Linked DNA regions of Mytilus edulis. The protein of the gene in region 1 purifies or fractionates together with the protein of each later gene. This does not show direct contact. Links are inferred from orthologs where the notes say so. Each region holds a gene or a part of one and is shown in the gene's direction. Other genes may lie near its edges.

Region 1 (7,518 bases):
AAACGAACTATAATATAATAATGGCCATATTCCTGACTTGGTACAGGACATTTTTTAAAAGAAAAAAAATGGTGGGTTGAACCTGGTTTTGTGGCATGCCAAACCTCCCGCTTTAATGGCAATGTTAAATATAATATTAAAATGACAACATAACATTACAGGACTACAATGCAAATAAATAGGAGAACATATTGGACAAAGAAACACACGAATAATAGCTAACAAAAGGCAACAGGTTTAAATTTTAATACGCCAGAAGTGCGTTTCGTCCAGACAAAACTAACTTGTGACACCCAGATACAAAAGTTTGAAAGCCAAAACAAGTACAAAGCTAAACAGCACTGAGAACCAAAAGTTCTAAAAAGTTGTCCCCAATACGGCTAGGATTTTCTGCTTGTGATAAAAACATCCTTATTATTTAGAATAATTTATACTTTTGCAAACAGTAAATTTTATAAAATTACTATATATTAGATATACATGAAATAACTAAAGTATTAACTAATTACAGAAAAAAACCGGATACATTACACAAACCAACATAATCTAACACAAAAAAATACACACTCGAGTAAGTCAAAGCCTAAACGCAAAAAGTGACGTCAATGACTAATACTATTTCTCAAAACTAATAGAAACTCGTTTAAATCCAATCCGTTATCCGAAAGATAGACAGAGTTTCGAAATAGCTCTAGTGAAGATGGCCGATATTTAGTACTCTTCTCGACTAATAATGCAGGGGATTCAACCTTTCATTTGTCTAACGATATTGTATTACTAGTACTTGGTTTGTCATTGCGTTATTTTTAAAGTATCAGAGACATCAACGACGAGTTTCAGAGACAATTGCGACTCAACAAACACGCCATCAAGATCACCATTGATAGAACTAGTTTTAGCAAGAACTATCAAGTAGACTTCAACGAGTGCTAGGTGCCAGTACTAGGACTCGAACACAAAATACATGCATGAAAGGACAACCAACAATTGTACAGAGCCTGATGCAAGGTCAGTTCAACAAGTTACAACAAGCGACCAAAACGGTAGTACGACCAGCACACATTAGTCGCATGTCAATTTGATTGGGAAACACAAGATGTTACTCACCAAGCAACAGATATAAAAATTGGCAAAATATTGAAGAATGAAATATGAGGTATATCATAAGGAATAAGTGTAAGACAGCTGAAACAAAATATTCAAAAGGAATGTGGTTTATTAATCATATTGGCAGGTTTTCCTATCGTGTTTGGTGTGAAGACAATGTGTGTTGCGTGATGGCTTGAGGTAACAGGGGTCAGTCTGTATCTTATCCCAGGTAGACATTAGAACGATCTATACCTGCAAAATGGCAGACGATTCTACAATAGTCGGGGGTTTATTTTATGTCCCAGCAGTTGAGAACGTTCCATTTTTAGGTATGCTCATATATATATATAGGCTGTATAACTAACTTGTCAACACTGAGGTTGTCAGTCCGAACCCCGCACGTGACAGATTCCAATCTGAATTTACTAGGACTGTTAGTTTTCCTGCCAAAGGTCGTATGTTCTCTCCTGCTGAAGGTCGTAGGTTCTCTCCTGCCAATCTGGCTTCTTTCGTCAATAAAAACTGTCCGCCACGAAATAGCCAATAGTGCTGACAGTGGTGTTAACTTGAGGCCTAGTAATCAATCAAATAATCACTTTAGGCTGTATTCAGTATGGTTTTGAATGACAACGACATCAGCAAAGCAGAATTTGCAGGCGTCGTCAGATGCTTACCTTTTTACTACGATGAAAAACAAAAACTGTAACAACTTCAACTACATTAATCTCGAGAACATTAATCGCATCTGCGATGTTGTTTGGAACGTATTGCGTTAAGCCTATATTCAATCCAGTATTCTGGATTCAAAATGGTCTCAATTTGGTTTAGATATGCACATGATCTGCTCGCTACCAACCAACTTTCTAGTTAGTGTCTAGGAAAAATCATCATATATAGTATAGTTACAATGATTTTTTTTCAGATTTTCCGTCATCCTATTTCGATTTATTCACAAATGGGCCAAATAAAACGAGTGGATGATATTGTTGGGTGTCTACGTTCATCATACCGTCACATAACTGTGATGGCTTGTGCTGTTGGTTGATGTCTGTATTTTGTCATTTATGCTGGAAAATTCCCGATGAATGAGTTAATTGAAAAATCGGACAAATTCTATTGTCACGATTTATTTTATTCTATAGGAGGCTTTGTAAACAAGAGCAATACAAAACGGTACGTGTGAGACATAAAATGAATAAAACTATTGTTTGTAAACACTTAAAGTACTTCAAGTAGCACTTTCGGTTAAGTGCCCACTTTTAAAGAGTTTCCGGAATTGGTGGTTGTGAGATTATTCAAGTGAACTATCCGGCAATTCAGTGATTGAGTTTGAAAGACCTTGTAAACCTGATCTCCTGTGTTGTTTTATCAAGTCAAAGGTGGGTAATTTCCCCTACGGTTTGTTGATAGCTATAAGGGTGATTTCACTACTCTGTAAAAATGCACCAACATATAAAAAATAACTGATGTTCCAAACAAATGCTCGATTCAATAATTTTATGATTGTAAAGCAGTATCCACTAAAATTTAGTAACACCATCTTCAAGTTATTTACTTAATTTCCTTCGAAGTACAGTGTATCTTTTCGTAATAATGAACGGTTTTATATGTGTGCAATGCATACTTAAAATGTAACTCCAGTTTTACATAGACATTATAAATTTTAGACAGAGCGGGTATTTTCTTTTTCAAACTGGTCTTCAACATGATACCCTAAGGTAGTGTGCTATCATCATGGCAGGCAAATGCATGAAACTGAACTGAACTGAAAATATTGCTAGTCATTTATATGTGTGAAGTTCCAGGAACACAGCTGAATGCCGCTGGACACTTAAGGCACGTGCCTACCGTGACAATTTTTTTCACAAACATTTATTTATTAAAAAATGAAGTTGTCAAAACTTTTTAAAATTAATTAAATGTCAAGTATTACATTAGACTCTGGGTTATAGGATAGAATGTAATGTATATTATATTCCAGCTTAAATAGACACTAAAAACTAACTTTAGATAATTTCACTTTTTTTTTTAACAAATACTAATGAACCTCAACATGATCCATAACCTGACAATACATTTTATTTATTAGTTGTTATTGGTTTTCAACAAACTGTTCACTAGCTTGGTCTTCTTTCAATCGGTAGTAAAAACCTTTGCTAAAGTTGGGGGTTCGTTTGGCTGTATATAATGTATAAATATACGCAGTCACGTCCCACTGCACGTCCGGTAATATGGGACATTAAATCCGATGCCTCTTGTAGAGATAGTGGCAATACGCTAGATATGAACGTTAAGAATCCTCGTAGCAACTCTTTGTTGGGTTAGGTGGCCTGTTGAAAGGCAATATGTGTGTCCCTACCCAATTAATTAACTCTCATTTGTCCGTCTGTTACGTCCGTCTACATTTCACAATAACCCAAATTTGCTATAACTATGATACTAGATAGACGGAAGAAAACCCCCTATTAATTTAAAAAAAAAATGGCTATGATTCCCAGAGTTACGGTACTTTAACAGCCATTGTTAACATATTGCGCAGTATGCTTGAGTTTATTCCTCATAAACTTTACACTATTGCTTAGATTTGAAGCTCCCTTTCGATGTATTTTATTTTATTCCAGGATTTGCCTTTCCAAAGATACGGGACTTGAACCATCTGAATTGAAGCAAACAAACTCTATGCCTGGATTGATTGCCTAGATTTATTTCCTGAAAAGTAGTTGGGGTATTAAAGGCTTCTCATAAACTTTATATTATTGTTTGGATTGATAAAATGAAGATCCCTTTCGATTTTTTTTTCTATTTCATGGTTTTCCGACGTTCTAAAAGTTACTGGACTTGGTCCATTTGAAATTAAGTAAATTTTGCACATACAGGATCATACAGCGTTCAAACTCAAGTGTGCCTGGATTGATTTACTCAAATATAGTTGGCAATTTTCCGGCCGTTTTAAATTACTTTTGTTTGATTTTCTAGTGTTATTTCCAATTTTCTACTCGGTGTTAATGTTTAATCTTTTGAAAGAGGGTCGACTTGTTGTTACTTTTTCAGCGTTCTGCGTTTTTCTTTAAAAAACTTGAATATGACTCAGATATAACAAATTTGGATAAAGATGCTGATAAGAATAAAAAAAAAAGAATATTTCAGATTTTCTGTCAGCTATGAATAATATATGTCTAACGCCTTTCTGTGTTAAAGTTATTGTAAAAAAGTAGTAAAAGTAGTAATTTTAAAGAATGATTCACCATTTGAAGTCCCCACCCACGCAGTAAAATTCAACTGAACTACTTATCAAAACTCGGCCATTGATTGATTGACATATTCACAATAAAACAAGCCCCTTATAAGGATTAATGGGCCTATCAAGGGGAATCTAAGCATCGATTATTATTTGAAAAAGGGTTAATGTCATAATTATTTACATACAAATAAAAAAATTATATTTCATCTTTACATGTAATACTTTTATATCACTATGTCAAAAATTGTTTACAAAGTATACTATGTAGTTTGTCACCATTGACATAATTTCCTATGACGTCACAAGGTGCTAAAACATACGCAATTCACATCGGTAGTGTTGTCGTACAACTTAAGATTTAGAATGTCAATAAGGAAAAAAACTAAAAAAATATCCCTTTTTAACCATTATCAACAAACCAAGTATTGAATATTCATCATCAACTTAAGATTGATTAAAATAACCCATAGTTTATAATGCACTATTTCGTCCCGCGGATGAGGGGAACCTGTTAAACCTGGTTGTGACCAGTCATAGGGTTAATTTTCGTAAAACTTCAATGGTGTCCGACAAGAAGAAAAGTTCTCAGGAAATCTTCAAGGATATGTAACTAGTTTCGCTTACTCTAGAAATGTTTTTGTCTTAGCTGAGTAGGATAATTTTCGGTTTTTAGTGTTGTGATTTTCATAAATTTCGTCAAAATGTCCCAACAGTCGGATTTATCGCAGCGTAAAGGTAATCAGGTGATACACGTCCGGGACAACAGTGGGAACGAACTCGATGAATTATTTAATGCTGCCATGAACCCGGCCCGCTCGGGCCAAACTGGACAAGTGCCTATGAAAATGCGTAATTTCCCAGCTTCTTTTTTTACACCACCAAACTCTCAACAATCGGGTCATTCAAAACAAGGTAGTAACGATTCAACAGGTTATGGACCTAATATAATTGCACCTCCAGTGCATACCAGGGCGCATTCATCACCTGCAAGTTTGCAGCCATTATCCACTATTCCACAAAATCCTCCACAGCATCAACATGCAAGGCAACATTCATGTGACTCAATGTTAGACAACGAACCCCCTCTGCCTCAAGGTTGGGAAAAGGCAAGAACTCCAGACGGACAACTTTACTATATAAAGTGAGTAAAATTATAAAACTACATGTACATATGTATGCATTATTCATAAAAGTCATTAGTGTTCTACTATACAGTCAGTGAATATGTTTTTACTAATTTCTGTTTTTGTTTGCAAATTTAGAAATGGGTAAGTAGATTACTTTTTCAGGTGTAACCAGATTAAAAGAGCTGAGGCTCAAGAAAGGAATAAAACAGAAAGGGCAAAAGAAAATTACAGAGAATATATATTTATATGTTATTGTGTTTCTTATGCACTTACAAATTATTTGTTGTGTTTTTTTTTATATATAAATTTCACGACTTCAAATGTAAACAAACTAGTTCCTCTCTGTAAATGGGTAGCTATATAGCTAATTGTCAATATTGCCTGCAAAATTGCATTATTATTATTATGGCCAGGTCATGGAGGAGGCAGTAATTGGTGTTGATTCAACACTTTTACTGTTCTCGAGTTATGCCCCTTTATAATGTTATATGGAAGCTGGACATCATCTATGTCGGACCATGGACTTATTCTGCATTTATTTCCTCTTTGAAATGTCCAGAAAAAACTATTTTACATTTGTATTAATTCCGCAAGTGTCCAGAAACAGTATTAATTGCTAGACATGACCCAATCAGAAAGGTCAGTGATTGAAAATTAAATTAAATTAGGTCACAAAATTTTCATTATAACAGAAATAATTTTTATCAGTTCATTGGAATCTAGCTTTTTAAATTTCCAATTTGCCAAAAAAAAAAAAAAAAAATAGTCAATACTTTTCCGCTATCTATTTAAATTGTGGTTCCATAAAACTGACACACAGACTCTGCCAGTTATACATGTAGTATTATAATCAGAAGGACCTTCTTAAATTAATTACCATATAAAGCCTCCCCAGATGCAAAATGATTTTATGGCAATTTAAAGGATTCAAACAATATTCATTTACATCATGTACATTTTTATTCAAATACTTTTACAGAAAATAAAATTAGAAAATACGAAAATTGCCTGCCATTTGCTAAACAGATTATAATGTTATATTACAAATGTACATGTATGGTCAGATCGTATATTTTCATGCATGTACATATAGGTCATATATGATTTTGTACTACAGATGCTTTTTCAATAGAAATTGTGATGTCATAATGCATTCCTACATGTAATGGCACCAAAACGCATAGTACGAGGATAATCCAGAATCCTAGTAATTTGTGAAAGTAATAAGCATGATAAGCTCTGCTAACAACAAATAACAAAATAAAAAAAAATATTGAAGATCAACTTTCATATCAATGTAGTTCAAATTTCATACACAAGATCTAGACTGGCAATTTAATTCTCCTGTATCTCATCTACAATGTATATTCTTTAGAACCACAGACTACATGATATGTACAATGTACATGTACATGTAACTGCAACTAATAGATAAGTTGTATCACTGGTACCAGGCCTTAGGATTTGGATTGTGGAATTAAGAGTGCGGCTGCCTTGTCACTAATTTCATGCTTCAGCATGCAGTAAGAAAAACTGCTATTGCTCAAGATAGGGACTTCATTGGCCAAATAGTCTAAGGCTAAACAGCTTTGACTGTAGTGTAAGTGTTCCCTTCTACTGTCTAACTAGCCAGTGCCTGTCAACACTGATGTTGTGAGTTTGAATCCTACACATGGCAGGTGTGCATGACTCCATTTTTGATCAAATTGAATCTTTTTTTTTTGGTCGAATGTCAGTGATTCTGTCTAGGCTCTCAGGCTTACTCCACTAATAATGAACCGACCACCACAAAATATCCGTTAGTGCTGAAAGGGGTGTTTTTCACCATATGCATTATATCAATCAATATTCATCCAGATCATGATGTACATATACATGTATGCATGTTCACCTGAATATGAAAAAAAAAACAAAACTGCAGACAATGATACATTATACAATTGACATGAAGTTCCTTGTACATGTATATATATATATATTTTTGTACTTTTAAAAGTCTTATTATTTAGAAGTGTGGGAAAAGTGGGTTTGTTGCACTTTAAATTTTGTCTTTACCAGTAA
Region 2 (7,095 bases), on another chromosome or scaffold:
TAATTTTCAAATTTAAGTTCTGTTTTGAATAATTTATAACATAAACCTTTTGATGATTGATTTACATTTGCAAACCATTCTTGTTTAAACTGATCTTTTAACTTTAATTTGTTCAATACTTAATACAATTCATTTTTTTGAGATACAATCTTGATTTTGCCAAATGTTTGACATACCACAATTATCAAAAATACTTTTGATAAATAACAACCATTTGTTTTCAATTCCATACTTATTATAATTAATATATATCAACTTATATAACATTGACGAAATCTTGTTATCAAGTGTGTTATCAAGAAGGTTGCACCAAAATTTTATCATCCGTAATTTAATGTATAAAGAAATCGGATATCTTCCCAATTCCCCGTAAACCATAAAATTCGGAGTCGATCTTTTTAACCGTAAAACATGCTTACAAAAACTCAAATGTACTCTTTCTAAAATGTCAAGATTTTCGTATCCCCAGATTTCGGCCTCATATAAGAATATAGGTAAAACAGCTTTGTCAAACATATCGAGCTGGCATTCTATAGATAGATGGTTTGATCTACACTTCTTAATAACACAATACATAGCTCTAGTAGCTTGATCTCTAAGATATTTTCTAGTTGCAAAAAAAGATGCAGTTCTAGTTGCTGACATCTATAGATTGGATGAAATTGGCTGATTGGGCTGTTATAATTGGTTCTTTTGTTCAGATTTCGATTAGAACTGTATTTATTGATCGAAATATTCGACGAGGACATTTCCAGAGGAGTCGACTAAGTAATTCACTTGATACTGACAAAATCCCAAGAAGAAAAAAAATAACATTTTAATTAGACAAAACTTTATACATTTGCAATTGTAGCCACTGATATAAGGTAAAGGTAGACAATAGGGCCCAGGACAGGAATCGAACAAATTCTTTTCATTGTGTTCCAGTAAGCATATTATATTTGTTCTGTACTGCTTCTAGATGTAATAATGATTTTTTTATTATCAAAACTTTGATGTTTTTCATTTGTATCAGAAATCGAAGTCTGACAAACTGCATTATTTGGGACCTGACTCCAAAGTAACTTGATTTATTCTCAGGATTTATTAAGCAATTCAATTCAATTCAATTCTTTAGTTCAAATGGTTTGACAAAAAGGTGCAAAAGAATCCAAACTGAGGGAAATAAATTTCCCTCTCAAATTTTTACGTTAAATTAAGATGTAAATATATATAGAGGATTACCTAGTGTTAAACAATTCCCCTTTAAAGTCATAAGTAACCTAATTACTTTCAAAAACATGAAACAACAAATACAATAAAAACATTTATTAGGCGCCTAATGAAATGAATTCACACAACACAATAGTTCAATACTATTCAATAAACAAATTTAAGAATGACCAATATAGATATTCAAAAATTGTTAATACATAAGAGAGGGGGGGCAAGGGGTTTAACTGTTATGCTGTTATGGGGCAATTTAATTCTCTGTTATCTGTTATTTTGAAAATATATTTGCTGTTAGCTGTTATTGTCTTATTCTTTGTTAGCTGTTATTGGGCTTTTAGTTTTTTTGTTATCTGTTATTGTGATAATGTATTTGCTGTTAACTGTTATTGAAAATTGGAATGTTAGCATTTTTTTTGACAGTCAATATTCGGTATAAATTGAAGATCATTGGCCATTGAGGTCTACCACTACTAATATGTTTGTCCCGTATTCAGAGAAGGATTCCATTAACATATACCCATCACAGAAGTGAGGTCCAGGACAATTCAAGTATATCTTATGATTATCCTTTTCAATAAATTCCATTTTTTTTTTATGAATGTGTATTTAGAATTATCTTATTTTTTTTTGCATGAGAATAATGTTCCTTGTTTTCCGTACGAACATATTAAATTAAAACAATTCTTAATATGACAAAAAGGAAAACATATGGCCAGGAATATCTGACAAGGATCTCAATTAAGGACTAGGTCCTAACAACCACTTAACCTTTTATATAATATGGTACATAGACACAGCTCTGTGATTCTTTTCAAAGCAGAACCAAATGCATTGTACAATGAAAGTTCCAACCATGTACTTGGGTCCGAAGCTGCACATAACTCATTACAAACAAAGATTTATTTCGTTTCAAGCCATTGTTTCCCTACTAAACTATGTATTCTACTTACTAGTACACTTGGTACAATCAACAACCTCAGCTGATAAAAAATTGTTCAAATAAGGCCTTTGAAAATAGTGGAATAAATTGCTTTTAGAGTGTCAAAAAGTACTTGATAAATTGCATGCTTATAATTGGTGCTTTTGATTTTTTTACCCTATATACCACTTTGCCTCATAGTTTTATTAAGAAAAATTCACACACCCCATTAAATGGTCATTTAGAAAAAGTCAGAATATTCAAACTCTTTTAGGTCACTTTTTTGATTAGCAACAAAGGGAGCTTCAGTCAATATATATAAACAATACACCAACGTTTCATGAGAACTGCTGAAAACATTTTTGTGTTAATGTCACCCCTTTTTAATTAATGAAACCCGTTCACTCGGAAACGTAAAATCTAAAATTTATAAAAATTGAAAGTTATCTCATGTTAATAGATATAAACAATTCACCAAAATTCCTTGCTTTGTGAAAGCATTTTTGAGATATTATCAGAAAATTGAAAAAAAAACCAACATCTTTATTGAATAAAAACCCATTACCCAGAAACTTAAAATCTAAAATTTATGAAAAAAAAAGGGAGCTCACGTCAATAGATATAAACAATTTCCCAAAGTTTAATGCAAATGGTTAAAGAGTTTTTTGAGTTAATGTCCGACATGTTGACAACAGACGGACAACAGTATACCATAATACGTTCCGTAAACGAGCGTATAAAAAATATTATAATATATTGAGTAGTAATTTAAACACATTCTAGATAGATAAATTAATACTAAAAACATAGTCATAAAAAATGGAATGCATTACAAAGGATTATATCTGTAATAAGAAATACTGATTTGTCAAAGACTGAATAATTTTAATATTTCATTTACTGTTATCTGTTTTTGACCATTTTAATTCCTTGTTATCTGTTATGAGCCAAATCAATTTGCTGTTTTGCTGTTATTGGGACCCCCCTTGCCCCCCCTCATAAGAATTAACCCTAAACCAGTAGAGAAAATATAGAAATACCCAAAAGTAAAAATGGGCACGGGTGGGCGGGTTAAAAAATGTTCTCAAAACTACCAAAATGTGTTGATCGACGCTTCAACTCAAATTTCAAAAATAATATATAATAAGAACTAAGTGTTTACCGTGTGAAAGCAAATCTTTGAGTGATGTAAAAAGGTATGTAATTTAACAGGTAAACGAAAGTGAGTAGAATTCAACTAACAAACCAATAAAAAAAAGTTATGACAAATTCAGTATGCCGAAAAGAATATAGCATTTAAATAAATAAATTCCTTAGGAACAGAAAAATAATAACTCTAGCAAAAATATAAATTTCTTTCTCAGTAATTAATCATTTTTGTCGAAATAAAAATTTCCACAAATTCAAAAAATAATGCACATGTTTTTGTTATAACTCAATCATTAGTTTTCAATATAAATCAAACTTATGTACATATACTTTTTCTGAAGAAAACACCTTAATTTGTTCATATATTTACAAGAAGTTAACGTTATTTTAATTGCTTGCTTCAAGGAAGCAATTCCCCGACATATCCATGTTTTTTTGTTGATTGTTTACAAACAGGTGACAATCGTTAAACTTCGGCTTCAAAACACAATTATACCTGCCATATTTTCACAACAACCATGACAACACTGACCGATTGTAAAAAATTGACGATTATACGCAATTTATGCGAAAAAAATGATAAAATCGTGCACAGAAGACTAAGTTTATGATGTTTGTATGCATTGGTTCGAGAATAGGAATAACATTATTTTTCACCGGTCACTCATTTCATATGACTTTAATAAAAAAAATGTTCACATGTTGAAGAACGTCGTTGTTTATAACGTAAGATTACTCATAAAGGTATTTGGACATATCATTTATTTCGTCACGGGAAATAAACTTTCTACTTCCTCTTTTACTTTCATTTTGAAGACGGTGTGGTGCAACCTTTTTGGTCGTGTCTATATCCAGACTCATCCAACATCATTACCGTCGTAAATTAATTCTAAGTTGATAGAATAATAAACAAACATGCCTCCTAAATTCGATCCAACCGCAATTACAGTTGGTAAGCTTCTTATTCCAAATACATTTGCTTTCATATTGACGTGTAACCAAAAAAAAAAAAATTGCAATGGTACATGTAATTTTATAGTGACTGTGTACAGGTCCAGAATTGAATCTGTACTGAACGGGTTTTATGATCTGGTTTACGGGACGTATTAGCCTAATATTTAATACCATTGTCCGTCTGTCCGTACATCGTCAACCTGTTCAAATTATAACTGAACTTCAAACGCTAGAACCAATTCGATTGACACTTTTGGTGAAATCCCTGAATTGTATATATTTACTGACGCGAGCTCCCTTTCGATTTTTATAAATTTTACTTTCAAGTTGTGCGAGTTTATTCATTAAAAAAAGGGGGTGGGATTTTCCAGTGTTGAGACAATAACTCAAAAATGATTTCAGCAGTTTCCATGAAACTTTCGTGTTACCCTCGAGAATTGTGTATATGTATTGACGCAAGTTTCCTTTTGTTTATTCATGTTTTACGTTTTGGAGTTGTGTGATTTTATTCTTAGAAAAAAAACCGAATTTTCCAGTTTTCACACAATGTTTTTATCCGCAGTTATCATGAAACTTTGTAGTCCAAATACAAATGTAATTATGACGTCTGGCAAGGCTATTTTAATTTTTTTCTGGTCTTAGGAAGGCGTCCCAGAAAAAAATTAAAATAGCCTTGCCAGAAGTCCTGATTATTTGGACTAGAAACTTTAATTGGTGACTGGTTTTTATCTACTTAAATAACCTCCCTTGAGTTTATCATAATTTCTGATATGACATTGACACGAAGAGGTAATGGTGAGACTAGATTCTGTCATTGCATTCGAAACTATACATTGTTGCTCTTATGATCTTATAAAGTTGACTCTTTAAGGTTCCACTAAGGTCAAAATATAGGACACTACAGAAACATCAAAACTTGCCTGTATTTACATGTAACAACCTAAAATGAATAAAATCCTAAACTATAAAAACATGTTCATTTAAACATTCTTAACATATACACATTGTGTAAATTGTAAATAAACTTGAAATTTTTGTCGTGTAAAACCGGTTTTGGGGGGTGAACACTTGATTTTCCAAAAAATCTGGAGACCTGTGAGATGACTTAATTCGTTTCCAATTCGTATGAACGAATACTGTTACAAGCTAAATGTTAATTATATAATTTGTCACAGAAATATTGTTTGATGACATTTTTGTCCAATTTCTGTATTGTTTTGGTATTCGTTCACTTTAATAATAGATTCATGAAATTAACTGAAACTCGTTAATCAATTCATTTTCCTAAAAAACAAACACTACATTTGTAGCTTGTACTGCATTACATGTAACAGTATTAGTTCATACCAATTTTAATTATATAAACACATTTAAGACATTTCACAGGTCTCCAGATTTTTTGAAAAATTAAGTGAACATTCACCCCCCAAAACCGGTTTTACATGACACAAAAATTTAGTTTATTTACAATTTTCTTAATGTGTACATGTACATGTTAAGTATGTTTAAATGAACATATGTTCCCATAGTATCAGAGTTTTAGAAGATGTCTTATCAGACAGACAGACAGAATATTTTATTATAGTGTCGCATACCAATACAACAATATCGTACATCATAATATTAGTATAAAAATACAAATAAAAATTTAAATCTAAGTTAAAATATCGGTATCCAGCCATGACTGACTTATGATGAGACACTTTTGCTTTAAAACTTATTCTAACATTCATTACAAATGAATAAAAAAAAACTTTTAAATTACATTGAAAAAAACAAAAAAAATACTGTACACAATATTTTCTGCGATTAAACATAAAATATAAGGATTTTGCTAAAAAGGGTTGTATACAGTCATGTGATATCAGAAAAATAAATTTATCACTGAACTAGTATACATTTTTGTTTAGGGGCCAGCTGAAGGCTGTAAAGTTATTTTCTGTTTGGTCAGGTTGTCTTTATGACGCATAGATTCAGCATAACAAAACCTATATGTCACAGATATTTAGGAAGGCTTGACTCGTATGTCAACATGGTGCATCATCCATATGGTGAATACCTTAGAAATGTGAAAAACAAACTCCAAAACAGGATATAATAGAACAATTTACTAATCGAAAATGGTGTCCACCACACAAAGTGACCATATAGAAATGTAAACAATTGAAACACCTGATAAAGTCACACCTGAGCCTCAGAGGGAACCTGAAATTTACATTCATAGTTGAACCATGCAAAAATATAATACATAATATCTTCTGAAAAAATAGTTAAGATTAAAATTATAGCAATAAACTAACTTATAATTGTTACATACATATATAAATACCAATTTACCACAATTTGGTATTTAGTTTATATTGTTTTATCATGACGAGATAAAGAGCAAGTTTGTTTTTTGTGTCGGTCTGATAATTTTGTGCAGAGTTATAGCCCTTGGACTTTGAAAATTCACAAAAATATCAGTTTCCTCACTTTTTTGTCATGCTTGAAGATATTGTTTTGATATTTGTTTAATATATAGTTTACACAATGACAAGTTAAAGGTCAAGTTAGCATTTTGTTCCAGTACAATTAATTTTAAACAATATGGTATCAGACTACTATAAATTGCCTTGGGTAATTTGCAGTGATTTTAAATTGATGTGAATTGGTTATAATATAGTCTAAAATTGGAAGATTAAACATGAATGCAAAAAAAACCAGAACACTATTTTTAATAGTTAACATTGAAGCACTTTACTGGATTTACTTTCACCAGGAACACTAAATGAGGGGGGACAATACATGTTAACACCTCGATTTTGGCAAAAACAGTTAACAAATATACATAATTGCTGAGAACAGTTAACACAGTGGGT

The links. The genes of interacting proteins can lie anywhere in the genome.
Region 2: the proteins of transcriptional coactivator YAP1-A-like (region 1) and large ribosomal subunit protein uL11-like purify together in Homo sapiens (affinity purification with mass spectrometry, with the first as the bait; 3 studies listed by BioGRID). This does not show direct contact. The link is inferred for Mytilus edulis from reciprocal best matches to the Homo sapiens genes YAP1 and RPL12.

Annotation. Positions count from the first base shown.
Region 1 is NC_092346.1:52,558,701-52,566,218, reverse strand, and holds the start of transcriptional coactivator YAP1-A-like, read left to right. Parts: upstream 1-4,509; 5' UTR 4,510-5,031; coding exon 5,032-5,471; intron 5,472-7,518. UniProt on the Homo sapiens protein: Transcriptional regulator with dual roles as a coactivator and corepressor. Critical downstream regulatory target in the Hippo signaling pathway, crucial for organ size control and tumor suppression by restricting proliferation and promoting apoptosis.
Region 2 is NC_092350.1:443,098-450,192, reverse strand, and holds the start of large ribosomal subunit protein uL11-like, read left to right. Parts: upstream 1-4,070; 5' UTR 4,071-4,195; coding exon of another isoform or gene 4,196-4,232; intron 4,233-7,095.